Linked DNA regions of Mus musculus: regions 1, 3 and 4 are each reported to be linked to region 2. Evidence: microRNA targets listed by miRTarBase, many of them from high-throughput screens and not tested one by one. Region 2 holds a microRNA gene; each other region holds the end of a gene's coding sequence.

Region 1 (8,262 bases), not on the chromosome of region 2:
CTATAGTTTTATGTCGCCTAGCTGACAGGCCACCCAGATTCCAGCCCAGGCACCAACAAAAACACAAGTTCCCTCATAAATCATGTGTTTGAGCAATCTTGGCTGTGTGAGCATTATGTGGTTTCTTGGAGTTCCTTTGGTTTTTATTTATTTTAATGTTTTGAGATAGAGTCTTGGCGGGTAGCTCAGACCTTGCCCCCAGGTGCCAGGATTGCAGCACCATTGTAATTCACCACTGTATGTAGCTTATGTTTAAGGTACGTACAATTTTTCTTAACGATGAAGCAGTTGGTACTTAAATAAGCATAATTTGCCTAATTATCAAGACAAGAATTTGATGATAGAGGTTTTTTAATGCCTGGATTCTTCATTCAAAGCTGAGCTATCTTTTAAACAAGTTAGCACATGCTTCATATCCAGAATACATTTAAGGGCCCACTGAGTTTTTTGTATTTACTTTAAAATCAGGAATAATAATATATGTTTCAGTATATACACTTTTTCAGCATTATATTACATTATACTATATTGTGTGTTGAATGTAGTGGTTTTTAAAGTCAGGACAAGACATAAGGACAGGGAAGTAAGGCTGCATGGCATTCTGCTCTTCTGGCTGCTTTCTTCCAGTATCATTCATAGTCCTTATTCACATTTTCTTTACTTATGGTGTGATGATGTCATGGGTGCTTCGACTTCCACCTGACTACTGTTCTTACTGAAGCACAACTTCACAAAATGCACAAGTCCTCAGTGTATGTCCATGACTTAAAAAAAGTAATTTTTTGAGAACGGCATCATAACATTTGTGTTTCTAAGTTTCAAGCAGCTCCTAAAATATTGTCAGGTGCTAAGCTGATCTAATCTTAAGTATTTGTCTTTATGGTGCATAAAACATGCAAATAGAGCTAAATATTGTCTAGGTTCTTACAAACAAATATTACCTGTAGCTGCTTCAAGGCTTAATTTCATTTATTCAAGAGAAACCTTGCTCCCCACAGCTCGCTGCATCCTGTTTCTCATCATCTGGCTGATAACTGGAGGAAGGCACCACTTTTGGTTCCTGCCAAACCTGACTGCTGACGTGGGCTTCATTGACTCCTTCAGGCCCCTGTACACACATGAGTACAAAGGACCAAAAGCAGACTTAAAGAAGGATGAGAAATCTGAAACCAAAAAGCAGCAGAAGTCCGACAGTGAGGAAAAGTCAGACAGTGAGAAAAAGGAGGATGAGGAAGGGAAAGGAGCTCCGGCAGACCATGGACCAGAAGGCTCGGGCGGAGAGCGGCACTCAGACACGGACAGTGACAGGCGGGAAGACGACCGCTCGCAACACAGTAGCGGGAACGGGAATGATTTTGAAATGATCACGAAGGAGGAGCTGGAGCAGCAGACAGATGGGGATTGTGATGAGGAGGATGACGACAAAGATGGAGAGGTGCCTAAATCTGCACATGAGAAATCATAATCTGACTAGCTGGGGGACTAAATAAGTACAGCAGGTTGGGTTTTCTGTGTTGGCCGATCATCATGATGTACAGATGGCATTTGTAGCATTCTTTAAATCCATTTTCTGAAATGTATTTGACATTCAGTTACAGTCAGCCTTTTGTTTTGTAGAACGTTGGTACTGTTATTGGTACAGTTTAAAGCCATTAATAAGTTTTATCCATCTGATAATTTTACAGTAAGTAGGCCTCATTTTGATAGTCATCAGAGGTACATTGTCCACAATGACACTTAGAATAAGGGCATTTTTGATAGTTGTATGGCTTTTTACTGTTAGACTAATGGAAATTGCTAAAGAAACTGCAGCATTTCAGATTATGCATAAGTATATAGCCACTTGGCAGTTTCTTTAGGATCAAATGCTTAAACTCATTGTTCTTGCTAGTTATGCTCTTTTTGGGTTTTTAGGTTTGTTTGGTTTTTTGTTTTGTTTTCATAAACTTATACCAGAAAAATTCCTTTTTTAAGGTTTTTGAGTTAGCAGGGATCAAGAGCATTTTGTGGAAACAAGCCAGCTAGTAACAGTGCAGCAACCCTTTTAATTCAGCTACAGATTCTCCTTTTCCAGCTTAGGAAATCCCAACTGACCTGTGCGTTCAATCCAGAGAAAGGCGGTCATCTCCAGCAGAAGTGAGGAGCGCTGACTGGACGGCGAGGCTCTTCCTTCCTCCCCATCTCCTTGTCATAACATAAGATGTATTCTGTACATAATTTACAAATAAAACATTTTATTTTAATTGTTACTTATTATTTAGACATTTCTCAACACTGAAATTTGTAAAACAAAAACCATGTAAGGTATGTTTTTAGAAAGTTTCAGTAACCCACAGAACATCTGATCTTTCTACAGCAGCTTCAGTTGTGTGCCAACATTCCATGTATTTTAATATGAGTAAAAGTTATCCTTATTAAGTAAGAACAGACTTAAAGTAGTAGCTGTTTGTACGCCTTAATGTTCATTGATTTATTTTAAATCTTTACATTTAGAAATGGGGGCTATGTCATCAGACGAGGAGGCACTGCTGTGAAAGACAATTTGCTGTTCTAAAATACCAATTAAAAATAAAGGATATAAAAGAAAACACAGCAAGCCATTGGACTCTAATTGCTTCAAACTAGTTTGGCCATTTACTTTTTACACACCTTCGCTACAAACCTTCTTTAAAACGCCTGCATATACACAAGCAATCCTTGGAGCCACGTTTTACACCCCAGTGAGCAGTGAGTGATTTTCCTTTAGTCACACGGTGGTTTTGCTTTGTAGTTAGTAGGTGATGGATATATAGGTCTTCATCCTCCTTTAGGCTGTTTCTCTTCTTGTGTTTGTCCATTGTCTGTATATTGACAGCTTATGAAATACAGCTTGACTTGTTTCTTTAGTCTTCCTGTGTGGATGGAACGGTAGGTGCGGTCCTCAGAGCGCTGTGCATTGATTACAGTGCCTCGGTGTTCTTCCTTCACATTTATTTGCAGAGCCCTGCTGCCTCGTGTCCACAGTAAGGAAGAGGATAATTACAGCTTATGAGCTTGTTAGTCACAGGTAGATTAATACCTATTTAGGGTATGAAAATGGAACAAGAAACTTTGATAAAACAAAACTGCTTGTTTGACCTTTACTAGTATAGTACCCAGGCACTCAATATTTATTTGCAAGATCTTTGTAACATATGTCCTGTGTCTAGTCTAAACAATAAAGAATGCTAGCTACAAAGTCCACTTACTGATACAAGTGGATAGTAAATTTTTCATAAGTATTTGCTGATCTTTGGGGAGAGTACTCTTGTTTTCGTTAGGTATGGACTAGAAATTTCAGCTTAATTTCTATTGTATGGTTCAAGGTAAAACACTTTAAACAAGTTAAAAAATCAAAATGCTTCCTCTGTTGTAGTCTTTAGACGTCTTTGTGTCAGAGCATGGAGAATTGTTTACACTAGCCAATGGAGTAGTGACTCTTAAAAAATGATTTCCTATGCTGCTGTAAGTAGAAGCACAAAGCTTTTGGGTAATGTGGGGTTTACTATGGAGTGTATGTATGTTGGCCTATGCAGGATTGAACTAAGCAGGAACTGAGTCCAGATGGAAGAATAGTACATATGTGAATGTTCTCAAAATTAATGTGTTAAATAGGGTGCTTTTTCTTTTCCTTCCTACAGAATTCTTAAGTTTTTTAAATTATAAGTCCTTCTAGAGAATGTTAATTGATAATTTCAACGAATACTACCCAGAAAATAATAAATTTTAATATATTACACTGAAGTACGCAGTAGTGATGGATTTTGGTATTTTCTCTTTGGTTTTTTTAATCACAAATACCAATTAGATTCTACCTAGAAAGATCATGTCATTTGTAAGTTTTCTTTTTCAAAACTTTTAGAAATTGAGAAACAGTATGTACAATTGATTTTCATTGTGGTTATATTCTGTGAAGTCTCTGGAACACTGAAGTAACAAATCCTGAACCACGTCTAAGGGAAGTATTGGGCTAAGTTTCGACAAGCCTGTTACCAACATTTAATCAACCAATATGTAAACTTACTTTAGCTGTCTCTATTTAAAAAACATGTTAATATATGTTATTAATTCCTTAACAGTGACTCATGACCAATAGTAAATATAACTTCTGCCTGAGTGAAGATTTCTAGTACATATCTTCTCCATGAGTCACATCACTGCACTTGTGCCCTTGAGGAACATGAGATGGCATTTTAGCTCTACCTTTAGTGACCATTTTAAACAAAATCACAGACAAAAATGCACAAGTGTGAAAAACAGACATTCACAAACAAAAAAGCAGTGCAAGATGTAGAAGACAGCCCTGTCCAGGCACTGCCAAGATGTGTACAGTGGGCACTTGTGATTGCTGCCTAACTCTTGGCCATAAAAGTTCTGAGGGCATTTAGACGTCTCAAATATGTACTCCCAGAACTTAGAATCCAAAAATAATGAAGTCTGGCTGCACTTGTAGTCATGACATTTAATCTGTGGTACTCTTGAGTCTATATAGCCCTGACTAGCCTAGAATTCTACATAAGCCAGACTGGCCTCAAATTCAGAGATCCTCCTGCCTCTGCCCCCAGAATAGAATTGATTGACAAATCATGTTCCAGTATTGAGTAATGTTTTAAATATTTACCCAGAAATAAACAGTTCCTACTTGTATTGTTGGTAAAATGCTTTTTCTCCACTACAAGCAGTATTTCAGGTCTAGCCACTGACAGTAATACGGAGCACTTTTGTAAGTCAGGATCTGCTGAGGCACACCGTGAAGGAAAGTCCTGTCTGCCACCATGGAGCAACAGCCAGCGTGATGAGTGCTGCGCAACGGTTTGCCAGATATGCTAGGTGCCTCTTAGTCCCAGCTCCTCTGTGGTTGCTGCCCACTGACATGGGCCTGAATAGGGATAAGCAGCGGGGCTCCTGTCCATTCTGGCTTCCAGAAATCAAACGATGCTGTTTCCCATCGTCTCCACAATGAGGCTGTCCTGCTATCAAAGGCCACCACTTTCCCAAAATTTTCTTCCCCACTCTTGTGCTGGCACCCTTTGTGACAAAGGTAATGTCCTGATGTCCTGTGTGCAGTTCCTAAAGCATAGTTCTTCCTCTTTGCCTGTTCCCACACTTGACAAAAGTGCTCATGTCTTCAAAGTATTGATAGAAAGCCATCTTCTGTTGGAACTAGAGCCAGGCGACTACCTGCTTCTTAGGTCCTCAGCACTGAGTATTAGAAAGGAGCCCAGAAATTTTGAAAGCATGTCCTGTGCATTCTAGTAGTGATCTCTGCAGATGACTGCACAACGTTTCCTTTACATATTCTACCTTCAGCTGTGCAAATCTAAATAACAGTCTATGTACACTTTAACCTAATTCAGAGTGCCTTAGAAAGTTAATTATGTGGCTTTTCTACCCTGCTACATATGAAGAGTATATCTGTAAGTTTGCCATTTTAGGATTGGAGGAAGAAAATACTTTAATAGGTTTAATGTGTGTGTGTGTGTGTGTGTGTGTGTGTGTGTGTGTGTGTGTGTGTGTGTGTGTGTGTGTTTATACCAGGTGTGGGGTGCATGTGGAAGCCAGAAGCAGATCTCCAGGAGCTCAAGTTAAAGCTTAACTACCCAGTGTGGGTGCTGAACCCAGGAGCACCACTGTGTTCCCAGCCCCTGTGATCTCTGCTATCATGATGCATGATGCTCAAGGGAGAGGACATCTTTCTCACAAACCAAGTCATCATACTTTGGCCCCATTTTTATTTTAAGGAAATACCTAGACCACCATTTTTGTACCATAGACCCTATCTCTTTGATTTTTAACAGTATTGCATGTAGCCACATGTGGCAAAGTATGGGCTTTGAGTATGATTATGATCTAAGTAATTAATTTGTCAGCGTCCCATTCCAAAAGCCAATGGAACTTTATTTAGTGTAATTGAATCCTTAATATTCACACAGAGTTTTATGTGATACTAAGGGTATCTGTGGCTTGCTTATTCTATCACATGCATGAATGCCAGATCAGACGGGATCTGAGAAGGCTTCTGGGTGTATCTTGATCTGAAAGAATGAGATAGTAGTATTGTGTCAGAAACAGAGAAAATGCTTCAGATGTGTGTCTAGTTAGTATTTCTAGTGCTGAAATGACTAAAATAAAATGAAATGGGGAAGCGAAGGTTTGTTTTCTCTTACAGAAGTCTGTTACTGAGGGAAGCCAGGGAAGGAATCTGGAGGCAGGAACTATAGAGGTCATAGAGGAGTGCCGCTTCCTGGCTTTCTCTCTATGACTTGCTCAGCCTGCTCTCTCTCTCTCTCTCTCTCTCTCTCTCTCTCTCTCTCTCTCTCTCTCTCTTTCTCTCTCTGTGTGTGTGTGTGTGTGTATTTTGAGAGTATCATGACATCATTTCCCCTTCTATACCCCAGACCCTCTTCTGTATCTCTCCTTGTTCTTTTTCAAATTCTTAGCCTCTATTTTTGTTCAATTTTGTTACATAAATACATAAAAACATACATAAAACCTGCTGTCTGTATAATGTTCCTTGTATATATGATTTCAGGGCTGACCACTTGATATCGAATAACCAATTGATGTGTTCTTCCCTAGGGAAGACCAGATCTCAGCATACCTCATTGCCTGTAGTTCTTTGTGTAGACTTAAGACATTATGGACTTTCCCCATCCCGTGTTAGCATGTCTGTTCTCTTTGTTCAGTTCATGTTTAGACAGTCGTCTTTGTGAGACTTGATGGTGTAGCTTCTGACCTTACTAGGAGACACAATCTCATAGCAAACTCCTAGATCCTCCAGCTCTTACTGTCCTTCCAACCCTCTTCTGCAGTGATCCCTGAGCCTTCAGGAGTTGTGATGGAGATATATTGTCGGGATTGGGCTCCACAGTTCTGCATTTTGATTGGTTATTGTTTTCTGTAAAGATCTCTGTCACAAAGAAGTTTCTTAACTACAGCTATAAGGACAAATATTTAGAGTGCAGTTAGGTATTCTGGTCCTTTATAAAGAGGCAATTGTAGGTTCTTTTTCAGGATCCATGACTTCACTAGCCTGGGTAATTGGTTAGATTTCTGATACCAAGTATGCTTTCCCTCTTGTTGAAGGGCCTTAGTTGTTGATTACCTCCAAGATATGCCTACCACTCTGCACCTTAGGGTTATCTTGCCATCCATGCTGGTTAAAGGCTTCATGGCTAGACTGTTGGTTGCTTCTCCCCTTTGGAAGCTTGCATGGCAACTTCAGGTGCCATGAAAGTTAGTCCTCAGAGAGTGAGTATTCAGGTTGATTCCAGCTCAGGGGCCTCTGGACCCTGTGTCTGAAGTGCATGGTGTCTCAGCAATAGGCACTTACCTTCCACTTCTGGTGGGGCAACCAAGAGTGATAGAAATAACCTATAATGTTATAACCTAAAGGTATGTCTTTGAGAATAGGCTTAATGGCTGGTTGTTAATCAGGGTTGTCTTTCTTATGGGAACAGACGCTAATAGCTGGTGAATCCCAATGAACAAACATTTACATCCTAGAATCCTGAATTTTACATATCTCTAACAGGCCTGGCTAGCACACCACTTATGTTTGAGATATTTTGTAGCCAGTACTACTTAAGCTGAGTCCTACTTTATGACTTAATGTCTTTAAAGAAAATCTATTAGTAAGTCGTTTATGGCTTGAATTTTATTTGAGTTTCTTGGAAATCACACCCTCTCCTCTGTAGCAATCATACATTCCACTCTACACTCCAATCCCAAAACAAAGGTACCCCAACCAAATCTCACTTCCTCCAGGGTTCTTGAGTTCCAAGGACCCTGTAGACCTGAAGATATCAGTAGCAATGTTGCCTCCCATGAATGAAGCTAATGAAATAATCCTAGCACAAAGTAATGAGAGCCAAGAAGAGATCAGGAAGACCCAAGGCATTGAGAATGTGATCTTTGAGCCTTCAACTCCAACTTTTCCCAAAGCCAACTGGGGCTTTTCAGTCATGGAAGCCAAGGAACGCTTCATTGTTTTCATAAGCTACTTTGAAGGAAATGTCCATCTGGAACTAAAAGATGACTTGCATACACAGTAATAAGTACAAACAGTGAAAAGCACAATTAAATTTTATCTCAAACCTCACATGCTTATCCTAGAAATCTAGGTGTCTTGGAGACAATCCATCTTTTGTTTGTTTTGTTCTAATTGTAGTTTTTTGACAAGTTTCATTATCTAGGCATGACCTTTAACTAGCAATCTTGTTAGTCTCTCAAATGCTAGGATTA
Region 2 (8,262 bases):
TATACATGTATGTTTATGTTATATATATATATATATATATATATATATATATATATATATGTATATATATATATATATATATATATTCATTTACACAGATGTACACGCACACACATGTAAACACACATGCACATACATGGGTGGCATCACAGGAATACCAGGATAATCTCTAACTGAAGTTAATCATGAATTTGAAATCCTGATTCTCCAGACTTTGTCAATCATTTACAGCTGGTGACTGAGACCATTCACTGTCCCACTACTGCAGTCTCTAAAACTCTAAGTCACCTATCATTCAAATGGATCGATGAGTGCCATTCCTGTGTGTGTATCTGTGCTTGCTTGTATATGTTTGTGTGGATGTATATGTCTATTCATATACACACATGCACATGCACACAAAACTATACACACATGCACATACATTGGGGAGGATCCCATGAAGCCAGGCTGATCTGTACACCATTTTGAAGTTACTCATGAATTTGAACTCCTGATCCATCTGAATATGAAAAACATTTTACTGGTAAGTAAGAAGTTTCATTGGCCAAGTACTACATAATTGCTAAAGCTCTAAGTCACATATCTTTCAAACATATAAATGAATGCAATTTTTTCTCTGTGTGTGTGTGTGTGTGCTTGCATATACACATGTGTTTATGTTATGTATATTCATGTCAACACATGCACATGCACATACAAGTAAACACACATGCACATACATGGGTGGCATCACATGAATACCAGGATGATCTCTAACTGAATTAAGCATGAATTTGAAATCTTTATCCTCCTGACTTTGTCAATCTTTTACACCTGGTGGGTGAGACCATTCAATGTCCCCTATTGCATAATCTCTAAAACTCTACATGACTTATCATTCAAAGGGATTGGCGAATGCCATTCCTGTATCTGTGTATGTGTGCTTGCGTTTATACGTGTGTGTGTATGTTATGTATATTCAAATATAGACATGAACATGCACACACAACTATACACACATGCACATACATGGAGGAATCACATAAATCACAGGCTGATCTCTAAATTCTCATGAGGATAAGTATGAATTTGAACTCCTGATACTCTTAACTCTAGTAAGCATTTTCACTCTAAGTCACTTATCATTCAAATGGATTGATGAGTGCCATCCCTGTGTGTGTGTGTGCGTGCGTATCTATGTGTGCGTGTATGTATATGTATATTCATATACACACATGTACATGTACGCACACACAAACACACATGCACATACACAGGGGCCATCACATGAATGACAGGCTGATCTCTACCTCATCACGCAGTTAACATGAATTTGCACTCCTGATCACCCTGACTCTGGCAAGGGGCGTCACATGGTGAGTGTGACCTCTCCCTGGCCCAGTCATACAGAATCTCTAAGACTCTAAGACACATATCATTCAATAGAACAATGAGTATCCATTTTCTGTGTGTTTGTATGCATGTTTGTATGGGTATGTGTGTATGTATATGTATATTCATATACACATGTTCATGCACACATACATATACACACAAGCAAATAGATTGGGGGCATCACATGAATCCGAAGTTGATCCCAGACTCATCATGAAGTTGAGAATGAATTTTGACTGCTCATCCTCCTGACTCTGGCAAGCATTTTTACCTTTTGACTAAGAGCACTCACTGGCCCAGCACAGCATAATTTCTAAAACTCTAAGTCACCTGTCATTCAAAATGATTGATGGGTGTGTGTGTGTGTGTCTGTGTATCTGTGCTACTTCTATATGTTTGTATGGATGTATATGTATATGCATATGCACACATGCACATGCACATAAACTATACACACATAAACATACATTGGGGGGAACCCCGTGAAGTCAGGCTGATCTCTATGTCATTTTGAAATTACTCATGAATTTGGACCCCTGATCCATCTGAATATAACAAACATTTTTACTGGTAAGTAAGACGTTTCATTGGCCCAGTAATACATACTCTTAAAGCTCTAAGTCATATATCATTCAAACGTAACGACGAATGCAATTTCTTCTGTGTGTGTGTGCCTGCATATACACGTGTGTTTATGTTATGTATATTCATATCAACACATGCACATGCACATACAAGTAAGCACACATGCACATACATGGGTAGCATCACAGAAATACCAGGATGATCTCCAACTGAAATTAAGCATGGATTTGAACTCCTGATCCTCCTGACTCTGTGGTTTACACCTGGTGATTGAGACCATTCACTGTCCCACTACTGCATAATCTCTAAAACTCTAAGTCACCTATCATTCAGATGGATCGATGAGTGTCATTCCTGTGTCTCTGTGTGTGTGTGTGCTTGTGTTTATATGTATGTGCATGTTATGTCTATTCATATACACACATGCACATGTACACAAAACTATACACCCATGCACATACATGGGTGGCAATCACATGAATCACAGGCAGATATCTATATCCTCCTGAAGATAAGCATGAATTTGAACTCCTGATACTCCTGATTCTAGCAAGCATTTTTACCTAGAAAATGACAGCACTCACTGGCCCAGTACTGAATAATTTCTAATATTCTAGGTGGCATATCATATAAATGGATCTATGAATGTTATTCGTGTGTGTGTGTGTGTGTGTGTGTGTGTGTGTGTGTGTGTGTGTGTGCACGCTAGGGTTTATATGTCTATGTATATGTTATGTATATCCATATAGACACATGAACATACACACACAACTATACAAACCTGCATGTACACTTAAGGCATCACATGAATCACAGGCTTATCTCTAAATCATGCTGAAGATAAGCATAAATTTGAACTTCTGATACTCCTAACTATAGTAAGCATTTTCACCTAGAGAATGAGAGCACTCACTTGCCCCATACTGAATAATCTCTACTACTCTGAGTGGCATATCATTTAAATGGGTCAATGAATGCCATTCCTGTGTCTGTGTGTGTGCTTGCGTTTATACGTGTGTGTGTATGTTATGTATATTCAAATATAGACATGAACATGCACACACAACTATACACACATGCACATACATGGAGGAATCTCAGGCTGATCTCTCATGAGGATAAGCATGAATTTAAACTCCTGATACTCTTAACTCTAGCAAGCATTTTCACCTAGAGAATAAGAGCACTCACTGGCCAAGTACTGCATAATCTCTAATATGCTAAGTGACATATCATTCAAAGGGATCGATGAAAGCCATTCTTGTGTCTCTATGTGTGTGTGCTTGCGTTTATACGTGTATGTTATGTATATGCAAATACATGCATGAACATGCACACACAACTATATACACATGCACAATCATGGGGCCATCACATGAATCACAGGCTGATCTCTAAATCCTCATGAAGGTCAGTATGTGTTTTAACTCCTGAATACTCTTAACTCTAGCAAGCATTTTCACCTAGAGACTGAGAGCACTCACTGGCCAAGTACTGCATAATCTCTAATACTCTAAGTGACACATCATTCCAATGGATTGATGAGTGGCATTGGTGTGAGTGTGTGTGTGTGTGTGTGTGTGTGTGTGTACTTGCATTAGTGTGTGTATGTTATGTATATTCAAATACAGACATGCACACACAACTATACTCACATGCACACACATGGGCGATATCACATGAATACCAGGATGCTATCTAGCTGAACATAGGAGTGAATTGGAACTCCAGATCCTCTTGACTCTTTCAATCGTTTACAACTGGTGAGTGAGACAATTCACCGTCTCTACTTCAAAATCTCTAAAACTCTAAATCACTTATCATTCCAATGGATCGATGAATGGCATTCCTGTGTCTGTTTGTGCACTTGTGTTTACTTGTGTGTGTGTGTGTATGTTATTTATATGCAAATACACACATCCACACACAACTATACACACATGCACATACATGGAGGCATCACATGAATGCCAGGCTGATCTCTAACTCATCATGCCGTTAACATGAATGTGCACTCCTGATCACCCTGAATCTAGCAAGTCTTCTCCTGGTGACTGAGACCTCTCTCTGTCAGCCCCAGTCATACAGAATCTCTAAGACTCTAAGTCACTAATTATTCAAATAGATGGATGAGTGCCAATTTTTGTGTGTTTGTATGCATGTTTGTATGGGTATGTGTGTATGTATATGTATATTCATATACACACATGTACATGCACACATACATATACACACAGGCATATATACTAGGGTCATCACAAGACTCCGAAGCTGATCACGAACTCATCATGAAGTTCAGCATGAATTTTGATTCCTGGTCATCCAAAGTCTGGCAAGCAAGCATTTTCACCTTGTGAGTGAGAGCACTCACTGGCCCAGCCCTGCATAATCTCTAAAGCTCTGAGTCACCTGTCATTCAAAAGGATCAATGAGTGACATTCCTCTGTGTGTGTGCGCGTGTGTGTGTGTGTGTGTGTGCGTGCCTGTGTGTTTATGTTTGTCTGTATGTAGATGTATATTTGTATACACACATGTACATATACACAAAACTATACACACATGCACATATATGGGGGGAGGATGCCATGAGGCCAGGCTGATCCCTAGGTCATTTTGAAGTTATTCAGGAATTTGAACTGCTGATCCAAAAGGCAAGCGTTTTACCTGGTAAGTTAACTGAGACATAGCTCTGGCCATTCCTGTGAGTGAGTGTGTGTGCATGCGTGTATATGCATATTCATATAGAGAAGTGTATGTGCACAAAGCTATACACACATGCACATTCTTTATGGTCATCACATGAATAGCATGCTGATCTCTAACTCATCATGAAGTTAAACATGAATTTGAACTCTTGATCCACCTGACTCTGTGGTGTGAGACCTCTCCCTATTGAGTACTGCAGAATCTCTAAAACTCTAAGTCACATATCATTCAAATGGACTGAGGAGTGGCATGCGTGTGTGTGTCTGTGTCTGTGGATGGGTCTATGTGTGTGTAGGTATGTATATTCATATACACAATCCACACACAGTTACACACATATACACATACATGGGGACATCACATGATTCCCAGGCAGATCTCTAAGTCATCATGAAATAAAGCATGAATTTGAACTCCTGACCTCCTGATTCTAACAAGCATTTTTAACATGATGGGTGATAACTCTCCCTGACCTAGTCACACATAATCTCCAAAGCTCACAGTCACATAGATCAATGAGTGAGTGCCATTCCTGTGTGCCTGTGTGCTCATATGTGTCTTATGTGTGCGTGTATGTATATGGATATCATATTCACATATGTACATGTACACACACATAAACACATATACACATACATAGGGGCAATCACATGAATGCCAGGATGACCTCTAACTCATCATGCCTTTACCATGAACTTGCACTCCTGATCTTCCCGACTCTACCAAGGGTTTTCCCGTGGTTTGTGAGACCTCACCCTGGCCCAGTCATACATAACCTCCAAAGCAGTAGGTCACATATCATTCAAATGGATCCGTGAGGGCCATTCCCGCATGTCTGTGTGCATGTGTGTGTAGGTGTGTGTATGTATATGCATAAAATATACACGCATATACATGCGCGCACTTATGCACACAGGCACATACATAGGGGCCATCACATTATTCCAGGATGATCTCTAACTGCTCATGAAGTTAAGCATGAAATTGAACTCCTGATCCTCCTGACAATGCCAATTGTTTACACCTTGTGAGTGAGACCATTCACTGTCCTTCTACTGCATAATCAGTAACATTCTAAGACATATATCATTCAAATGGATCGATGAATGCCATACCTTGGTGTGTGTGTGCTTGCTTTTATACGTGTGTGTGTGTGTGTGTGTGTTATGTATAATCATATACACACATGTACATGCACACAAAATTATGTGTGCATGTACATACCTAGGGTCCATCACACGAATCCAGGATGATCACTAACTGATCATTAAGTTAAGCATGATTCTGAACTCCAAGACTTCTGATTCTGGCAAGCGGTTTTCATCTAGTTGGCGAGATATTTCACTGTACCATAAATATACACTCTATGAAATTCTAAGCACATATAAAACTTATGGATGACTGCCATGTGTTTCTGTATGCATGCATGTGTGAATATGTGTCAATATATGTCTTTTCATATATCCGCATGTACAGACAAACTTATCTATACACATACACAGAAACAATCACATGAATAACAGGCTGATCTGTAACTCATCAGGAAGTTAAACATGAATTTGAACTCTGGGACCTCCTGACGCTGGCAAGAGCATCCACCTCCTAACTGAGACATAGCTCTGGCCCAGCACTGCATAAGCTCTAAAGCTCTGAGTCACATACCATTCCAAAGGATATATGAGTGCCATTCCTGTGTCTGCATGTGTGTATATGCATATTCACATAGAGAAGTGAATATGCACACAACTACACACACATGCACATTTTGGTGTGCATCAATGAAACACATGCTGATCTCTAATGCATCATGAAGTTAAACATAAACTTGAACACCATATTCTCCTGACTCTAGCAAGATTATTCACCTCCTACCTAAGAAATAACTCTGGCCATTCCTATGAATGTGTGTGCATGTGTGCATATGCATATTCATATAGAGAAATGAATATGCACACAACTATACACACATGCACATTCTTGGTGGGCATCACATGAATCCCGTGCTGATTTCCAACTCATCATGAAATTCAGCACAAATTTGAACTCCTGATCCACCTGACTCTGGCAAGGGATTTCACCTGCTGAGTGAGACCTCTCCCTATTCAGTACTGAGGAATCTTAAAACTCTAAGTCACATATCATTCAAATGGACTGAGGAGTGGCATTCATATGTGTGTCTGTGTATGGGTCTACGTGTGTGTAGGTATGTATATTCATGTACACAAATCCACACACAGTTACACACATATACACATACATGGGGGCATCACATGATTCCCAGGCAGATCTCTAAGTCATCATGAAATAAAGCATGAATTTGACCTCCTGACCTCCTGATTTAAACAAGCATTTTTAATATGATGGGTGATAACTCTCCCTGATCTAGTCATACATAATCTCCAAAGCTCACAGTCACATAGATCGATGAGTGAGTGCCATTCCTGTGTGTCTGTGTGCTCATATGTGTCTTATGTGTGCGTGTATGTATATATCATCATATTCACACATGTACATGTACACACACATAAACACATATACACATACATAGGGGCAATCACATGAATGCCAGGATGACCTCTAACTCATCATGCCTTTACCATGAACTTGCACTCCTGATCTTCCCGACTCTACCAAGGGTTTTCCCGTGGTTTGTGAGACCTCACTCTGGCCCAGTCATACATAACCTCCAAAGCAGTAGGTCACATATCATTCAAATGGATCCGTGAGGGCCATTCCCGCATGTCTGTGTGCATGTGTATATAGGTGTGTGTATGTATATGCATAAAATATACACACATATACATGCTCACACTTATGCACACAGGCACATACATAGGGACCATCACATTGCACCACTCTTTCATGAAGTTAAGCATGAAATTAAACACCTGATCCTCTTGACACTGTCAATTTTTTACACCTGTTGAGTGAGACCATTCAGTGTCCTTCTACTTCATAATCAATAAAATTCAATGACATATATCATTCAAATTGATCAATGAGAGTCATACTTATGTGTGTGAGTATTCAAGTCTGTATGTGTGCATGCATGTGTATGTATATGTATAATTATATGCATACATGTACATTCACACAAAGTTACACACACATGCACATACCTAGGGTCCATCACATAAATCCAGTACGATTTCTAACTCATCATGAAGTTAAACATGAATTTGAACTCCAGATCCTCCTGACTCTGGCAAATGGTTTGCATCTGATTAATGAGATGTTTCCTGTCCCATGAATATGCACTCTATAAAACTCTAAGCACATATAAATCAAATGGATGATTGCCATGTGTATTTGTGTACACATGTATGTGTCCATATATGTGTATATATATGCATATACATATACCCACATGTACAAGCACACTTACCTATAGACATATACACGTACACAGAGGCAAAAACATAAATTACAGCCTTATCTATAACTCATCATGAAGTTAAACATTAATTTGAACTTCATATCCTCCTGACTCTGGCAAGAGTATTCACCTCCTAACTGAGGCATAGCTCTGGACCAGTACTGCATAAGCTCTAAATCTCTGAGTCACATAACATTCAAAAAAATATATGAGTGACA
Region 3 (8,262 bases), not on the chromosome of region 2:
TTTCGTGTGGTGGATGGCGGAACCCTCTCAGAGGTGCATGGACATAGATCAGAGAGCAGCTTCAAGGCATTCTTATTCCACTATGTGGGTTTTAGGGATCAGACTCAGGTCATCATGCCTTGTGGCAAGTGCCTTTACCTGCTGAGACATCTTACCAGTTCAATGCCCAGCCTTTTATATAGACACTGGGATCCAAACTAGGATCCTTATGCTATGCTTACACCCAGGGAGCCATCTCACCTTTTGTTTTGTTTTGTTTTGTTTTGTTTTGTTTTGTTTTGTTTTGTTTTGTTTTGTTTTGTTTTGTTTTGTTTTGTTATAGAGGGTCTCAGGTAGTCCAGGCTGGTCTAGAACTCATTATATAGAAGAACCTGGCCTCGAACTCCTGACCATCTTGCCTCCACCTCCAAGTGTTTGGATTATAGGCATATACCACCACACTTTTTTTGTTTTAGTTTTGTTTTGTTTATTGTTTTTTGTTTTGAGATAGGGTCTCAATTTGTAGTCTTGGTTGCCCTGGAATCAACTATGTAGCCCAGGCTGGCCCCATACTCATGGTGATCCTCTTTCTTCAGCCTCCCAAGTGCTAGGAGTGCAGGTATGCATACCACCCTGGCTAAATCGACTCAGATGAGAGTAGAGAGCAGACAGTATAATGGTGAACATGCACCAGAAACAGGGCAGTGCCTTGTGTCCTGTAGGGAGGCTGAGGCCATGATTGTCTGGACCCCAGCAAACCTCTTGGGAAGGATAGTACATTTGGAACAAAATGCCATCATCAACAGGAAGCGCACATGTGGGGACCCATTGCTGTTTCCTTACGGGGTGTGATGGGACGAGGGCTGGGCAGCAGCAGCTCCTCCAAAGTTAAAAAGTGAGCCCCTAGACGAGAGCTCAATGCCAGCTTTACAGAAAGCAAGCTTGATGCCATTGAGAGTAGGCGGTGGAGCCTACTGGTTGCACAAAAGTCCCAAAGAAGTGTTCCACAGACAGTGAAGCTTACTGCATGAAGACCGATCCCAAAGGAAGTAGGCAATGGTCTGGGGACGTCACGCAGCCTCTCACACCGCACCCCCCCCCCTCCGTCTTGTCCCTGTAGACACGTTCGCCAGCAAGGTGGCCGCGCTGCAGGACCAGTGTGCCGACGCGTCCATCGGTAACGTGACCGGCTCCAATGCGGTGAACGTGTTCCTGGGCCTGGGTGTGGCCTGGTCGGTGGCAGCGGTATACTGGGCGGTGCAGGGTCGCCCCTTCGAGGTGCGTGCAGGCACGCTGGCCTTCTCGGTCACGCTGTTCACCGTCTTCGCCTTCGTGTGCATCGCAGTGCTGTTGTACCGGCGCCGGCCGCAGATTGGCGGCGAGCTGGGCGGCCCGCGGGGACCCAAGCTGGCCACCACCGCTCTCTTCCTGGGCCTCTGGTTCCTCTACATTCTCTTCTCCAGCCTGGAGGCTTACTGCCACATCCGGGGCTTCTAGGGCCCTAGCCACCGCCCTGAGGGTGGGGACTTGGTGGCATTTGCTCTTGGACCCACCAGTCTCTCTACCCAGACTCAGCCTGGGCGCTCCCTAGGCTCTTCCTCCTCAGCCTTCTTCCTGGGATCAGCCTCCCTTTCCCCCTGGAATCCCATCCTTTGCCCTCCCTTCTCAGCTGCATCCCCTTCAGCCCATCCTTTGTGAGGTAAACCCGAGTCCCCTGGCCAGACACTACTTCTCGGTCTTTCTGGGCACCGAGCCTGATTCTGTCTTCTCGTGTCCCTCCCTCAAGCCACGAACTTCCACCTGTGCGCCCAGGTCTTAGAACATCTCCCTAGGTACCTCAGAGGGAGGCTGTGCCATCCCAGGACGCCATCCATCTCTGCCCTTAACCACCCCAACCCTCAGGGAGCTCCCTTGCAGTCCCCAGGGAAAGGAATAGGGGTTTGTGCGGGGAGCAGGGAGAAAGGCACGCACCTTCCCTGATTTATCCACTCAGAGGCTTGGAGATGGAGGAGGGACGTTTGGAGTATCTGTCCCCCAGGCTTAGCCAGAGGAGGCACATCTTGAACCCACTACTTCTGACATTCCAGCGCCCTACTCACCCTCCACTACCTCTGAGAGCCTAGCCACGCCTTGGAGGGAGGAGCCTGTGTGTGTATATAGTGTGTTTGGGGAGGGGGGACACGGGAGGGTGCATGTCTTGGGGAAAGGGGCGTTGACAGACTTTCCCTTCTGAGAGGGCAGCAGGACTCACTCAGCCTGAGAACCAGCTTAGTGGATGAGACTGAGACTCAAAGGGAGCCCACCTGACCTCCCCTGACAGTATTCTAGAAGGGTTAACGAAAGTACTCTAGTCTAGAAGGTTTATTTTGCTCTCAGTGCCAGCCAATCTGGGCAGGACCCTCGAAGAGGAGACCGAGGGTCCCAGAGGACCAATGCTACAAGCCAGCAAATGCTGCCACATCTCTGCCTGTTGGGGGGCGGGGGTGGAGGGGAGGGTGGGAGGGGGGCTGGGTGGGCATTTTTAACTTTGCAGGCCATACATCTGTTGGTAGGCCACCTGCATTTTCTTACTGTTGATGTCTCCTGCCCCAAAAAAGACATCCTTGGGGAACGGGGAGTGCTGCCCACTCCTTGCGACCTTAGGTGACCCTGCCACCCTCACAGCCTTCTGCTTTCCCTAAGTTATTATTTTTGCATTTTCTTGTCCATTTGTGCATCAGACCCATTACCCACGGCCCTTCTCACCCCTTGCTCATCAGCATCACTTGATGTCCCTTCTCTGTGGTTTCTGTAAAAAACTGCCATAAAACTTTGAAATTCTGCCTGAACAGTCCTCCCGTGGGAAGTTGGGGTGCAGGAGGAAAGGGATGGTAGCAGCTCCGACATCTAGACCACAGGAAACAGACCCGGCAGCCTTTGCATTAGAGTTGGCCAGACAGCAGGACACCAGCATACGCTAACCACATTCAATGTTACCAGAGCCTCCACCAGCCACAACCATAACTAAAAGCCATAGGCTTCTGGTACCACGCCTTACCCATTAGCCAAGAGCATCTACTAGTTTCACCCCTGCCCATTAGCCATTGGTTTCTAGTACTGATGTTCCACCCATCAATCATGAGCCTCCACTAGCCACGCCCCTGCCAAGCAGCCATAGGTTTCTAGTACCATGCCCCACCCATCAACCAAGAACCTAGCCCTGGTTGCCACGCCCCTCACAGTCCTGAGCTTCTGCTGGCCACACCCCACTCACCAGCCACAAATGGTTCCTCTTCATAGGATATTGTGGGATTGCAAAAGAGAAGGACTCTAATTTGCCTGAGCCAGAGGGAGCTGAGGTTGATGAAGTTTCCTAAATAAAATAGGTCACTTTCTCAGAATCATGCATGGAACAGGAGGTGTGTGTGTGTGTGTGTGTGTGTGTGTGTGTGTGTGTGTGTGTGTGTGTGTGTGTGTGTGTGTGTTTTCATAAGGGTGGATTATTCTAGGGAATGAGTACAAAGTTAATGTGTACAGACGTGTGAGGCAGTGGCTTTTTCAGAGTGGGACAAAGGATGAGCAGAAACGAAAGACGCGCTTCCTGCATGGAGTGGGGAGCAGAGAGACCTTCAGAGGACCAAGTGTAAAAGCCGGTAATAGCCACACAAGGAGGCTTAAGATTTAAGAGCAAAGGGCTGCTTCAGAAGAAATTTAGAAGGAGCAGGCCAGCAGATGATGTCAGCTGATTTATATAATTTTTTTGTTTTGTGTGTATGTGTACTTTGATTGTGTACGTATGTTCATCATGTGCGTGTAGTGTCTGCGAAGGCCAGAAGGGGGCTTTGGATACCCAGAACAAGGCAATCGTGGGCCACGCAATGGATACTGGGAACTGTACCCTGCCGGGTCAATGTTCTTAATCTCCAAGCCGTCTGTCTCTCCAGCTCCTGATTTATAATTTTAAGCATTCCTCATAGACTCCTGTGATATCAGCGACTTCCTGTGATATCAGAGGTTGGAAATCAGGAACTCAGGCAGGAGAAGAGGAGTGGAGGCTGGACTGGGTGTTGGAAATCAGGTCACAGATCAAGCCAGTGAGAAGGCACAGGAAGACCTATCGGCTGGAAAGAGGTGGTGACTGAGGGGGAATTTAGGGAAAAGACCTTAAAGTGACTCGGGTAGGGACAGGGAAGGTGCCCATGCCACCACAGGGCTGGGTACAAAGGAAGCAGCTGCCCTCCCTGGACACAAGATGAGCAGAGGCTGCAGTGGCCCATCGAGCTGCTGTGCTGGGGGTAGCATGAGCAACACAGACACATGGAGTGCCTGAGAGCAGCACTAAAGGATGAGCGAGCACACTAATCTTACCCTCCAGGTCCCACCAGCTCCTGTAGCCACGGGCTCAAGCCAGCGCCTGTCAGTCTAGAATGAAGAGAGCAGGAGAGCACATGGTGGCGGGGGGGGGGGGGGCTGTCAAATGCAGAAGAAACAGGGGAGAGAAGTCTAGGGTGCTGTGGCCCTCAGAAAAGGAAACTGCAGGAGAGGGGGATCTGGGACTTGTCAGCAAGCCAGGACTGGCATAGGCTGCCCGGGGGAAGAACAGAAACAGTGCCTCGGGGTATCTCCAACATTTAAAGTGTGCATGGGTGAGAGAGATGAAGGCAAGGGAGACACCAGAAGAGCAGAGGGAAACCCAGGTGGCAGGCAAGTTTCCAAGATGGCATGCTCATGAGGAAAAATCTGGCGTGACGGATTGGGTGAAGGGCTCAGGGACACTCTAAGATGAAACCATTAGCACAGACCTGCAATCCCAGAACTCAGAAGGCAGAAGCAGGACTGAGTTTCAGGCCAGCCTGAGCTACAGAGTGAGTGAGACCTTACCTCAAAATCACAGTGGGCTGTGACTGCATCTCCTGTGGTAGAGGGCTGGGTTCATATGCATGAAGCCCTGGGGTCAATCCCCCACATCACATAAAATCAGTCATTGTAGTGTGAGCTTGTCTTAGGGCTTCATTGCTGTGAAGAGACACCATGACCAAGGCAATGCTTTTTTTTTTCTTTTTTTTTAATGTTTTTCGAGACAGGGTTTCTCTGTGTAGCTCTGGTTGTCCTGGAACTCACTCTGTAGACCAGGCTGGCCTCGAACTCAGAAATCTGCCTGCCTCTGCCTCCCAAGTGCTGGGATTAAAGGCGCATGCTACCACTGCCTGGCTAAGGCAATTAAAGAAAAAAATATTTAATTTGGGGCTGGCTTGAAGTTTCAGAGGTTCAGTCTGTTATCATGGCAGAAAGCATGGCAGCGTGCAGGCAGCCATGGTGCTGGAGAAAGAGCTGAGAGTTCTACATCCTGATCCCCAGGCAGCAGGAGGGACTAGATGTGTTTCACACTAGGTGTAGCTTGAGCATTTAAGACCTCAAAGCTGGGTCTCCACAGTGACACACTTTCTCTAAAAGGCCACACATCCATCTATAAGGCCACACCTCCTAATAGTGCTACTCCCTATGAGCCAACCATTCCAACACTTGAGAATATGGGGGCCAAAGCTATTCAAACCACCACATTTGTAATCCCAGCACTAGGGAGGCAGGTAAGTAAGGACAGCCTGTCCAACTTATACTACATGAGAATATCATGAGAATATCTATCTCTCTATCTCTTTCTCTCTCTCCTCTCTCCTCTCTCCTCTCTCCTCTCTCCTCTTTCCTCTCTTCTCTCTCTAATACAGGGTTGTCCTGGCTGTCCTGGAACTCACTCTGTAGAACAGGCTGGTCTCACACTTAGAGATCCACCTTCCTCTGCTTCGTACGTAAAGGTGTGTGCTGCTGCTAGGGCAGTTGAGAAGCTTTCTGTAAGAAAAGAAAACATCTGAGCTTGGACCTTGCTGGGAGAGACTTGGTGAGGTCTGTGTGGGGGTAGAGAGCATGGGGTTTAATTAGCCCAATGTGGAGTGCGTAGAGCTGGAAACTGGGTCAAGGTGCACAGACCACACTTAGAAAGTCTGGAGAGGGGAGAGAGTAGTGAGAGGTGACCAGGATCAGAGGGTCCTGAACCAGGACCTTGGCCAGAATGCCCCCTGCACCAGCAGCCACTTCACAGAAGAGGAAACTGAGGCTGAGAGAGGTGCAGCAGCTTACCCAAGGTCTCACAGTGAAGAAAGGCAGAAATGAGGCCCGGGATGCAGAGGACCAAGGAACAGCTCTATGTTAGCAAGAATGAATGAGTACAGTGGAAATGTGCCAGAGGGACTGGGTGAGTGATGTCCATCAAGGCTTGTAGGAGGGAGTGAGGAATGGCAGACTTGCTTGGGTCCAAAAGAAATAGCTTGGAATCTAGCTCAATGGTAGAGCCCCTGCCTAGAATCCCCCACTGAGGGGCTGGGGGCGTGGCTCAGTGGTGGAGCCCCTGCCTAGAATCCCCCAGTGAGGGGCTGGGGGTGTGGCTCAGTGGTAGAGCCCCTGCCCAGAATCCCCCAGTGAGGGGCTGGGGGTGTGGCTCAGTGGTGGAGCCCCTACCTAGAATCCCCCAGTGAAGGGCTGGAAGTGTGGCTCAGTGGTAGAGTCCCTGCCCAGAATCCCCCAGTGAAGGGCTGGAAGTATGGCTCAGTGGTAGAGCCCCTGCCTAGAATCCCCCAGTGAGGGGCTGGGGATATTGCTCAAAGGCAGAGCATTTTCCTAGTATGCAAAATGTTTCATCCCTAGCATCCAAAACACAACTGATCTTTGATATCTCAGTTTGTCTCCCTGGGAGGTCATGTCACTGCTGTCATGTTTTTCTTGTTCTGATGCTCCCTCACCTCACAGATGGATCCCATCGGGGTCCCCTTCTGCAAGATGCACATTTGGAACTTAGGACCTTACTGGGACCCAAGTCATGTGATAGACACACTGGAGGCTGGGAAAGTGAGTCTTAGGAGTTCTCTCTGGAGAGAATGCTCCCCTCCGGTGTTCTGAGTGTGTGTAAAAGGCAGCAGGATACAGGACAAGAAGAAACTGTGTGCTTTCCATTCCGGATGAGACACAGGTCTGAAAATCCAGATCAGAAACCTTCCAAAAGTCCGTTTCCCACAAACCTTCCAGCTTAAAGCAACACGGATGTTCCTCAAAGCCCGATGCCATGTTAAACCATGATGTTAGCTGGGTTGCACTCCCCGGGAATCTGAGGAAGGGGAGAGAATCTGCTTCCAAGATTCCAGAAGCTTCCATTCCCACCTCCTCTGACTCCAGCTCCTTCCACTTCATGGAGTTTCCTTATGACCCTCTCTTAACTAAAAGGTCCCAGGTGGTGGCACGTCAGGTCCACCTATATAGTTAATGTTTTTCTTTTCCTTGTCCCCAGAATTTTAAATTGGACACATCTACAAATTCTTCTGGGGTCACATTTGGAAATTCTCAGGTTCTGAGGACTGTAGAGTGGACATCTGGGGGCCATTATTCAGCCTGCCACTGTCTCCACTGTGACTTAATGGAATGTATCTCAGGACCCTCTCTCCTGCTGTGCTTCTGCAGACATCAACCAAGCCACACACCCATTGTCCCGTAGCTGTTTCTTAGGATCCAACGTGTTCATGGAGGGAGCAGGGCACCTCCTGAGACTAACATGAGGAGCTGCAGAAAAAGCCCAGCCGTTAAACGCATGCATAAGAACCCGACTTTGATTCCCAAAGCCTATGTTAGAAAGCTCACAACCACCTATAATTCCAGCTCCAGAGGACCTATCCTCCCTCTTCGGGCCTCCACAGGCACCTGAACTCTGGTGCACATAAACACACACACACACACACACACACACACACACACACACACTTTAAAATACAATAAAATAAAAACTTGTTTTTTCAAGACATAGTTTCTCTGTGTAGCCCTGGCTGTCTCAGAACTCAGTCTGTAGACCAGGCTGGCCTCGAACTCACAGAGATTTGCCTGCCTCTGCCTCTCTAGTGCTGGGATTAAAGGTGAGCACCACCATCACCCAACAATAATTTTTTTTTATAAAAGAATTTAAAGACTAGAGGGATGGCTCATTGGTGAATAACACTTGTTGCTCTTGCAGAAGACTCAGATTTGAGTCCCCAAACCAGCATAGTGGCTCACAACAGTCTATAATTCCTCTTCCAGAGTATCCAGTGCCCTCATCTGACCCTGAACACCAAACTTGCGCATAGTGCACATACATACAGGCAAAACACTTATTTTTTTAACATAACAAAACAGTATACAATGTGCACAGTTTTTGATCAAATGAGGATTTTCTTTCTTTATTTATTTTTTTAATTAGGTATTTTCCTCGTTTACATTTTCAATGCT
Region 4 (8,262 bases), not on the chromosome of region 2:
CGAGGCCAGCCTGGTCTACAAAGTGAGTTCCAGGACAGCCAGGGCTATACAGAGAAACCCTGTCTCAAAACAAACAAACAAACAAACAAAAATATCTTCTGTGAATGAGAAGAATGTGCTGCAGAAGTAGTAAAGAAAGATTTCTTCAGACGTTTTGAAAGATGGTAAAGAGGACTATTGGAGGGGAAAGAAACTGGGCTCAGCTCCCAAGTACATGAACAAGTGGAGACTTTGAGCCAGGAGCAGAATGGAAAAAAAAAATTCTAAGCTAATTTTTGTTTTGTTTTGTTTTGTTTTGTTTTGAGACAGGGTTTCTCTGTATAGCCCTGGCTATCCTGGAATCACTTTGTAGACCAGGCTGGCCTCAAACTCAGAAATCCGCCTGCCTCTGCCTTCTAAGCTAATTTCAAAGCTAGGCTAGAGTAATTCTTAGTAGACGTATACTAAGTAGGATTCTTGCTAAAGGCAGGCAGGGTAATGAGCTAGAAAGTAAAAAAAAAAGAAAGAAAGAAAAAAAAAATACCCCCTTTGAGTTAGTGTCTCCTGAGGCCAAGGAGCCTCAAATTGCTACATAGCCAAGGATGACCTCGGCAGTGCCTTCCTCCTGTCTCTGCCTCCAAGGGCTAGGATTAGGAGTATGCTCCACACCCGGCTTGCTCAGTTCCGAGGATCAAAGGCAGAGCTTTGTGCTGATCAGCAAGCACCCTGCCGGCTGAGCCACCCGCCCAGCCCAAAGTGATGAACTGGCTCCAGTACTGAAGGGGATGAAAGAGTGAGAGCTAAACAGACACTGGAGAGTTCCAGCTCACACCACAAAGCCAGGGCAGAACTCAAGGCCAAGACAAGGACTCAGAGCACTCCCACCCACATTTTGGTCCTGGTCCAAATCTAAAGAAAATCTCCTCAGAATTACAGCTACTCAGAGTACGGGGCATTTTCCACCTGAGAGGCTAAAGGATGTCAGCTGCAGCACATAGCAGGAGAGTGGAGGTGTCATGTCATGTCCTTAGCATAAAAAACCGTCAAGGTTTTCGTCTCTAGGACCTCTGGTAGAAACCCTAAGTCAGGGCTGGGGTAGACAGCTCGATTACAGGAGGAGGAGACCGTCCAGTGTACACGAAACTCTGTGATCCTCAGCACCACAGAGAAAAGAAAGCTTTGATCTGATTGTACACGGGCCATACAAAGCCAGTGTTGTGTGATTCTAACCTGCTTAAGCCTGTGTTGCTTTAACATGCACTCCCTGTGGAGTGGAGGGACAGAGTGCTCCCTCTGCTCCTCCCCTGCCGCTCCGTCGCTCTGAGGGTGGGCGAGCACTCAGTCAGGACTGTGCTTGATGGCATGTGTGCATTAGGGTAACGAAGAAGCTGGACACCTATCAGGAGTACAAGGATGCTGCGTCCGCCTACCAGGAAGCCTGGGGTGCCCTCCGCAGGATACAGCCGTTTGCGTCCTGGATCAGAAACCCACCCGACTACCACCAATTTAAATGAACTCTTGCTGGTATCAGGACCCTTCGTATCGGTCTGCCTCTCCCTTCATGCTGAACGAACCTCTGCTTTTCTGGTGGTTAAATCCCAGGAGAATGAGCTGCCTTCTCCCAGAGCGCTCGCTGCACCTCTCTGGTGTCATAAATGGACCGCAGAACCTCAGCAATCTATACTTGACTGGAGCAGCTCCGTGCTAAAATAGCCTCTCAGTAATGCTCTTGATGGCTGCCTTCAATTGTGTTTTATTGGTTCTTTAAAATACAGCATCAGATGCTTTTAAAGTAGCCTGCAGCAGCTCTGGTGTAGATCTCCTTACATTGATTCAGCAAGGACGCATTGGGCTGAAATCATCTTAGGGTGCTGGAAGCTTTATAGCCTCTCCCGGACTCATGAAAACCATGTATTTCCTGTTTGCAGCCTTCCTTTGTAACCATCATCACTTCCCAGTCCTCAGCAACTAGACATGGTTGGAGTTAGCTTTACCATCAGGCTCAGCACAGGACTAGCCTCGGAAAGCTCTGTTCTCAGACTTACCAAGAAAGGTTGGTTGGTTTGGGTTTGGGTTTGGGTTTTGGTTTTGAGACAGTCTCACTTTGAAGCCACCATCATTCCCCACCCCTCTTTCTCTTTCTCTCCTTTCCCTTTCCCCCTTCCCCTCCCCCTCCCTTCTACCTTTTGCTTGAGACCGGATCCCTCTCTCTATAGCCCAGCCTGGCCTTGAACTCAACATGAAGCCAAGGGTGACCTTGAACTCTGATCTTCCCACCTCTGCCTCTAAGTGTCACCTCAAACTTTGCTTCCTGGATTCTCTTCTGAGCAATGTCATGAGGTCCACTATAGTCTTGTAACTGCCAGTAGCCACCGTCTTTTCCTACCACACAGAGACAGCCAGCCAAGAATGAAGGCTCCAGCCTGCACAAAACCACATGAGGCAAATGCCTGGTTTGATTGTCTTTAGTGTCTTTATCTGTGTGGGCCACACTGTCGAGGTGTGTGTGTGTGGGCCACACTGTCACGGTGGGGGGGGGGGCACACTGTCACGGTGTGTGTGTGGCAGTAAGCAGCTGTATCAGCTGAGCAATCTTACCAGGTTCCTGTTCTGACTAAATTGTTTTCTTTTTAACTCAGTTCCCAAATGCCTTAATTTCCTACAACAAATCAGCAAACGACGTAGCAGCTAACCCTGTTTAACTGTCACCTAGGAGAGAGCACTCAGCTTATTCCCACCTGGAAGCAGAAGCTCTGCTTGCTACTCAATGTCACTGTGGTTTATAGTGTTTTGTTTTGTTTTGCTTTGCTTTGCTTTGCTTTGCTTTGTTTTTCCACACAGGGTTTCTCTGTGTAGCTCTGGCTATCCTGGAACTCACTTTGTAGACCGGGCTGGCCTCAAATGCAGAGATCTGCCTGCCTCTGCCTCCTGAGTGCTGAGATTAAAGTTGTGTGCCACCATGCAGTGTTCTTTTATGAGATTTTTATATTATAAAGACTTGAATTAAATGTGAAGTAGTAACATTTTTTAATTACTTATTTCACATCCTGACTGCACTTTCCCCTCCCCTCTCCTCCTAGTCCTTCCTCCCCCACCTCACCTTCCCCTACCCCCATCCACTCCTCCATTTCTCTTCAGAAAAGGGCAGGCCTCCAGTGGATATCAACCAACCATGGCCTAGCAAGTTGCAGTAAGACTAGACAAGGCAACCCAAACCCAGTAGGAAGAAAGGGTCTCAAAGAGTAATATATTTTTACTCCTAAAGTTATAATCTGTCAAGTTTACTCACACCCTTAGTCACTGGCATCTGGGTAGAAAACACTGAAGGCTAACCACTAAAGGCAACTTCCCTTGAGCTTCACTTACTGTCTCAAAGCGCTAAAGGTGGTATTTAAACATCCAACAGCCTGCATCCTAGTTTATGCTCTTAAAACCCAAGTTTACACTGGGGGGTTGGGGTGCATGCCTCTAATGCCAACACTTGGAGTTCCATGTCAGCCAAAGCTGTCTGTCAGAGACAGAGAAACCCTGTCTCATAAAGCCCCAAAAAAGAAAAGTTTAGAATTGTATGTATGCCTTAACATCACATCTCTGTAATCCTGGCAAGTGCTTGCTTGCTTGCTTGCTTGGTCTCAGACTGTGTCTTCTGAAACCTAGGCTGCCCTGGAACTCCTTATCTTCCTAAAATCCCAAGCCAGAAAGCAGCCCTCTCCATAAGTTATCCCACGTATCCTGTTTATCCTCAGTCAGGCAACATTGTCCAGTGTGAGCCTTGGGCCAAACCCATGAAGACCTCTAGAGAAAAGGTGGCTCTGATTATCATTTGACCTGTGTCCCTCCTGTGTCCTCTCTGGGCCCTGGCTGCAGCAAACCTGGTTTCTTTGGTAAAATCAGAGAATATGAGGACATTCATGCGTGTCCCCACTCCCCATCCATCCACTCCACTGGTGCCCATAGACCACCACCAGGAACAGGACGGCCAGCAGGACCCTTTGCCCCATCTCATCAGAGAAACTAGGAAGGGCCTTCCATATGGTAGGCAAATGCTCCAGCCCAACCACCAGTGCTACCCCACCCAGGGGTCTTTTTTAATTAATGTGAAGGATTTTATATTTTAAACTGTAGAAAAACTAGAAGCCCCTCAGAAATGAAGCTGCACAGGAATTGGAACAGCAACTCTAACCCATGCGTAATTCCACAAAATTGTGTCTTCAACTAAAAAAAAAAAAGGCAAATTTGGCTCTGGAGGAAAGATTACATTTACGTGTGTGCCTAAATAGGGTCTAATGTTATGACTCTGCGTGTGTGTGTGTGTGTGTGTGTGTGTGTGTGTGTGAGAGAGAGAGAGAGAGAGAGAGAGAGAGAGAGAGAGAGAGAGAGTTTTCCTCAGAATTTTCAGAACCTAATCTGATTCAGCCGTGTCTGCCACCACCTGTGTGCGCACATAGTTCTTCTTCAGGATGGAGGGATGCCACGTCAAATGCCATGCTTTATGGATTCCCCAGTGCCAGGCATGAGCTCACTGAGGAAGTTGCTGTGGAGAAGAAGGGGCTGCCCTGGTTGCCAGCTGGAGAGGTGCAGGCCCCCTGTCTGACCTGCTTGTGTCTGTGGCTGCTGGAAAGCTGCCTCCACCCAGACCTAGAACAAGGTTCCTAAGCCAGAGTTTTCCAGTTTCTAAACAACAGCCATCCTGCCACCAATAAAACCAGAACTTGTGTATCGTGTCTGTGTGTGTGTGTGTGTGTGTGTGTGTGTGTGTGTGTGTGTGTGTGTGTGTGTGTGTGTGTGTGTGTGTGTGTTTGTTCAGGAGCCCAAGCAAACCTTCCCAAAGGCACTGAGCTGGCTAACCAAAGGGAGTGGCTAGATTCAGAAAGAGCCAGGCAGGCTCCGGATGTACAGCCACACCATCCTGACTGTGCCTGAGCTCAGAGCCAGGGAGGCCGAGGTCGAGGAGAGAAAGTATTTTCTGAGCAGAATAGTTCATTGTATACCTCATTTTGCAGAATCATAGTTGCCTTGACTTTACACACAAATCTTTTTAAAAACATTAAAAAAAAAAAAAAAAAAAAAAAAAGCAAGCTAGGCAGTGTTGGTGCGTGCCTTCAATTCCAGCTGATAAAAGTTGAAGGCCAGCCTGGTCTACAGAGCTAGTTCCAGGACATTCAGGGCTACCTTCTATCCTGAGAAACAAAAGCAAAACCAAAAAACCGAAATTAAAACTAGCTGTGTCTGTAACTGAACCAGCCTGTTTCCCTGTAAAGCCATCCAAGTAGATCCCAAATGATTTTCAGGTGGTCCTGTAGCCCAAAGGACAGAGAGAAATGAGTCAGAGACGCTTCAGAGCTGGAGTAGGCAGCCTTTTTAGTCAGTATTTATTTAGACTGGGGACAGTGGGTGGGAGGCAGCACTTGGTAATGCGTGCAAGTTGCTACTTTCAGTCTCCTGCACTAGGAAAAACAAAACCACACGTTGCTTGGTTGGTAGTGTTTGTTTGTTTGGTGATGTTTTGGGAGGAGGCCCCCCGCTGGCCTCTAACTCTGTGATGTTCCCATCCTAGTTTCCCCAAACTGCTGTTACAGATGGGTGCTACCATGCCTGGCCAACAGTCAGGGTTTTACTTAGGGTATTAAATAGAGGAATGCAGATCTTGTGGAAGTTTATGAAGGTCTACAGTTTTCTGTGCTCCTTTTTTTTTTGTTGTTTTTTTAAATGTAATTATACCTCAATTTAGAATGTGTTAGAAAAAAAGTCCTTATTACTTGGAATCAGAATAAATTTGAGTACAGCCATGGATGCAAATGACATGATAGTACCAACTCTGCCACCAACAACCAGCTGTATGCTGGGAAGGCATTTAACCTTTGACTTGTGACCTCCATTCTGTTCTACAAAAGCAAGTACCAGCAACTAGGCTGCGCAAGTGTTTTCAAGTGTAGGGTAGGCTTTCTCATTTTTTTAAAAAGTTGTGTGCTGCGAATCAAACTCAGCATCTTTCCGCATGCTAAGCAAGCACTTGGCTCAGAGCTTTCCCTAGTTCCACTTTTTAGCATCTCTTAATTGGGTGGGGTGTGGCATTACATACCTTAGATTCACACATAGGAGGCAGAGGCAGGCATACCTCTGAGTTCAAGGCCAGCGTGGCCTACGGAGTTCAGTCCATCCAGAGCTAAGGAGTAATACCCTGGCTCAAAAACGGAGGCAGAAGAAACCTCTTAATTGCCTAAGTAAAGCACTGGGGAATTTTCCTCAATGTAAAGGCCTGCTGTTGAATGGAAGACACTCTGATGCTGTGACCCTCTGACCTGCCTATGGCCTCAGTTATACTAGTGATGGGGGGAGGGGAGGGGGACTTTTGTGTTAATCTAGCAGCCTGGGGACTCTGGTGTGGATTTGCTGTTTTGCCCTTATTCGGATGAGTCAGCAAGGGTTAGGAACCAACCTTTCAAATCAAGTCTGATTGGCACTGCTTTCCGGTGTCCAAGTGTGGCAGAGGCTGGGGGGTTGGGGGGCGGGGGGGAGGCAGAGGCGGAAAGTCACTCCAAGTAGGAACCCAAACTGCCAGACATTGGTCTCAAGTACACGTCCCTTGAAACTGGCCGTATTCCCAAGGGAAGAGCTCACAATGGAAACAGTGGTGGGCATCTGTCCAGGCAGCCAGGAGAATGAGATGCGCTTTGAACCCAGAGGTGTCTCGAAGGGAGGCACGGTGGGCCCCTCAGCAGTGAAACCAACCTGGCCACTGGGCGGTATCACAGAGCCCTTTCCCAGCTCTGTCTTCCGTTCAGCAGCAGGCCTTTACAGTGAGCCTGTGGGGGAACTGCTGAGGAAATGTACCCGGAGGTATCCCCGATTCTCTGGACAGCAGATGAATGCTTAGCCTTGGGTGCCGTCTGCCTCGAGTTGGGTTTCGTTGAGAAGAAAAGTGTTTCTTGAAGTCTTAGGACCCTGCTCCTTCCAGATATTTATATTCATTCCTCCTATACACAGGTTCAGCATCTTCCTGGTTTTGGTTTTATTTTTGCCTCTTGTGAGAACTGTCCTTCCCACTGGTATCTTCCTGCAGTAATAATGTTGTTCAGCTAACCACTGCTGTCAGGAATGTCTCTCTATAGAAGCTTATCAGTAACTCCTGTATTGGGAGACTGGCCAGGCAGAGGAGGAAGGGAGAGAAAAGAGCTCTGCTGGGAACATTCATATTACCTTCCAAACTCTACTTGAAAGCCCAGCTCTGCCTTGATGTCTGTCTCCTTCTGCAGTTCTTAGGTCGTGATCCTAACTCCCCATATGACAGTGGTAGCACATGACAGAATCTTTGAGGGAGATCAGGCAGAGCCCTCAGGAATGGGATTGGTGTGATGCCATAATGGTACCTGCCCTGTCCAAGGACAGCCTGGGTCATACAAGACTCTGCCTCAATAAAATCAATAAATACCTCAGAAAGATCCCCACCAGTTACAACGTAGTTAGAAGATGACCATCGAGAAACAGGGATTGTGTCTCGCTAATTAATCTGTTAATTAACCCACATATTAACTAATTAATACACATATTTAATCTGTTCTTCCTGGCTTCCAGACATATGAGGGATCAATCTGTTGTTTATGAAGCACCTCCCTTACCATAGTTTAGTATAACAACTAACCAGATTACGATAAGGGCCATAGCTGCGGGGGAGGGAGGGCTCACACCTTTAACACCAGCACTCAGGAGGCAGGAACAGGCAGATCTCTGATTTAAAGGCCAGCCTGGTCTACAGAGCAAGTTCCAGGACAGCCAGGGCTACACAGAGAAACACGGTCTCAAAAAATTAGGTAGGTAGGTAGATAGATAGCCACAGGAATTTAGTTTTTTGCTTGAAATACTTCAGAATTCTAAAACAATGGAGTATAAAATTGGTGCAAGGCTCACAAACCCAATTTTCAAGAAACCAAAACTCACGTTAAACTAGAGTGTACTTCATGCCCAAAGCAGACCCATTCTAGACCCATGCTAGATCTAAAGCATACGTACATTCCTGTGGAATATATACAAGGGCAGGCCTCCTCCCCATCTAACCTAGCAGACCCCCGGTGAGTCTGGCACTGGGTTAGAGTGGAATGTGGCCCTAGGATGTACTGGTTTAGGATCCTAGGAAGGTAATCAATCATCCTCAGAGTGTCAGAATCCTCGCGCACTGGCATCGGGGCTGGGAGGGTGAAATTCGGTCATATACAGCACAGGTTTGAGAGGAGGGCTGTCTCCTGCACTGACAGTGATTTGTGCTTGGGAGCTTCCAGTCTGGGT

What was found. Region 2 holds the annotated microRNA mmu-miR-669c-3p (UACACACACACACACAAGUAAA, at 3,835-3,856, opposite strand). A microRNA usually pairs through its seed, bases 2 to 8, with sites in the 3' UTR of a target mRNA and lowers its output. Matches are read on the target gene's strand: a 7mer-m8 pairs with bases 2 to 8, a 7mer-A1 pairs with bases 2 to 7 and ends in A, and an 8mer does both.
Region 1: miRTarBase lists Sec62 as a target of mmu-miR-669c-3p. The part of its 3' UTR that is shown has no 7-base or 8-base seed match.
Region 3: miRTarBase lists Slc8a2 as a target of mmu-miR-669c-3p. Seed matches in the 3' UTR shown: 7mer-m8 at 2,125-2,131 and 8mer at 2,127-2,134.
Region 4: miRTarBase lists Adat1 as a target of mmu-miR-669c-3p. Seed matches in the 3' UTR shown: 7mer-m8 at 2,481-2,487, 7mer-m8 at 2,483-2,489, 7mer-m8 at 2,485-2,491, 7mer-m8 at 2,534-2,540 and 7mer-m8 at 2,536-2,542.

The regions. Positions count from the first base shown.
Region 1 is chr3:30,817,502-30,825,763 of GRCm38, forward strand. Sec62 (SEC62 homolog (S. cerevisiae)) reads left to right here. Exons shown (of 8, transcript NM_027016.2): 8 at 999-3,762. The coding sequence ends at 1,465. Among named protein-coding and RNA genes, the nearest start is that of Sec62, 29 kb to the left of the region's middle.
Region 2 is chr2:10,504,953-10,513,214 of GRCm38, reverse strand. Mir669c (microRNA 669c) reads right to left here and starts at 3,919; the gene lies at 3,811-3,919. All of the region lies in intron 10 of Sfmbt2 (Scm-like with four mbt domains 2), which reads right to left. Mir467e (microRNA 467e) reads right to left here and starts at 7,494; the gene lies at 7,408-7,494. It overlaps Mir466p (microRNA 466p), which reads right to left and starts at 7,209; the gene lies at 7,121-7,209. It also overlaps Mir467d, Mir466, Mir297c, Mir669a-2, Mir297b and Mir466d, and 1 more gene.
Region 3 is chr7:16,157,705-16,165,966 of GRCm38, forward strand. It overlaps Slc8a2 (solute carrier family 8 (sodium/calcium exchanger), member 2), which reads left to right. Exons shown (of 10, transcript NM_148946.3): 10 at 1,100-2,807. The coding sequence ends at 1,476. Among named protein-coding and RNA genes, the nearest start is that of Meis3, 14 kb to the right of the region's middle.
Region 4 is chr8:111,961,637-111,969,898 of GRCm38, reverse strand. It overlaps Adat1 (adenosine deaminase, tRNA-specific 1), which reads left to right. Exons shown (of 10, transcript NM_013925.5): 10 at 1,355-3,001. The coding sequence ends at 1,493. Among named protein-coding and RNA genes, the nearest start is that of Gabarapl2, 25 kb to the right of the region's middle.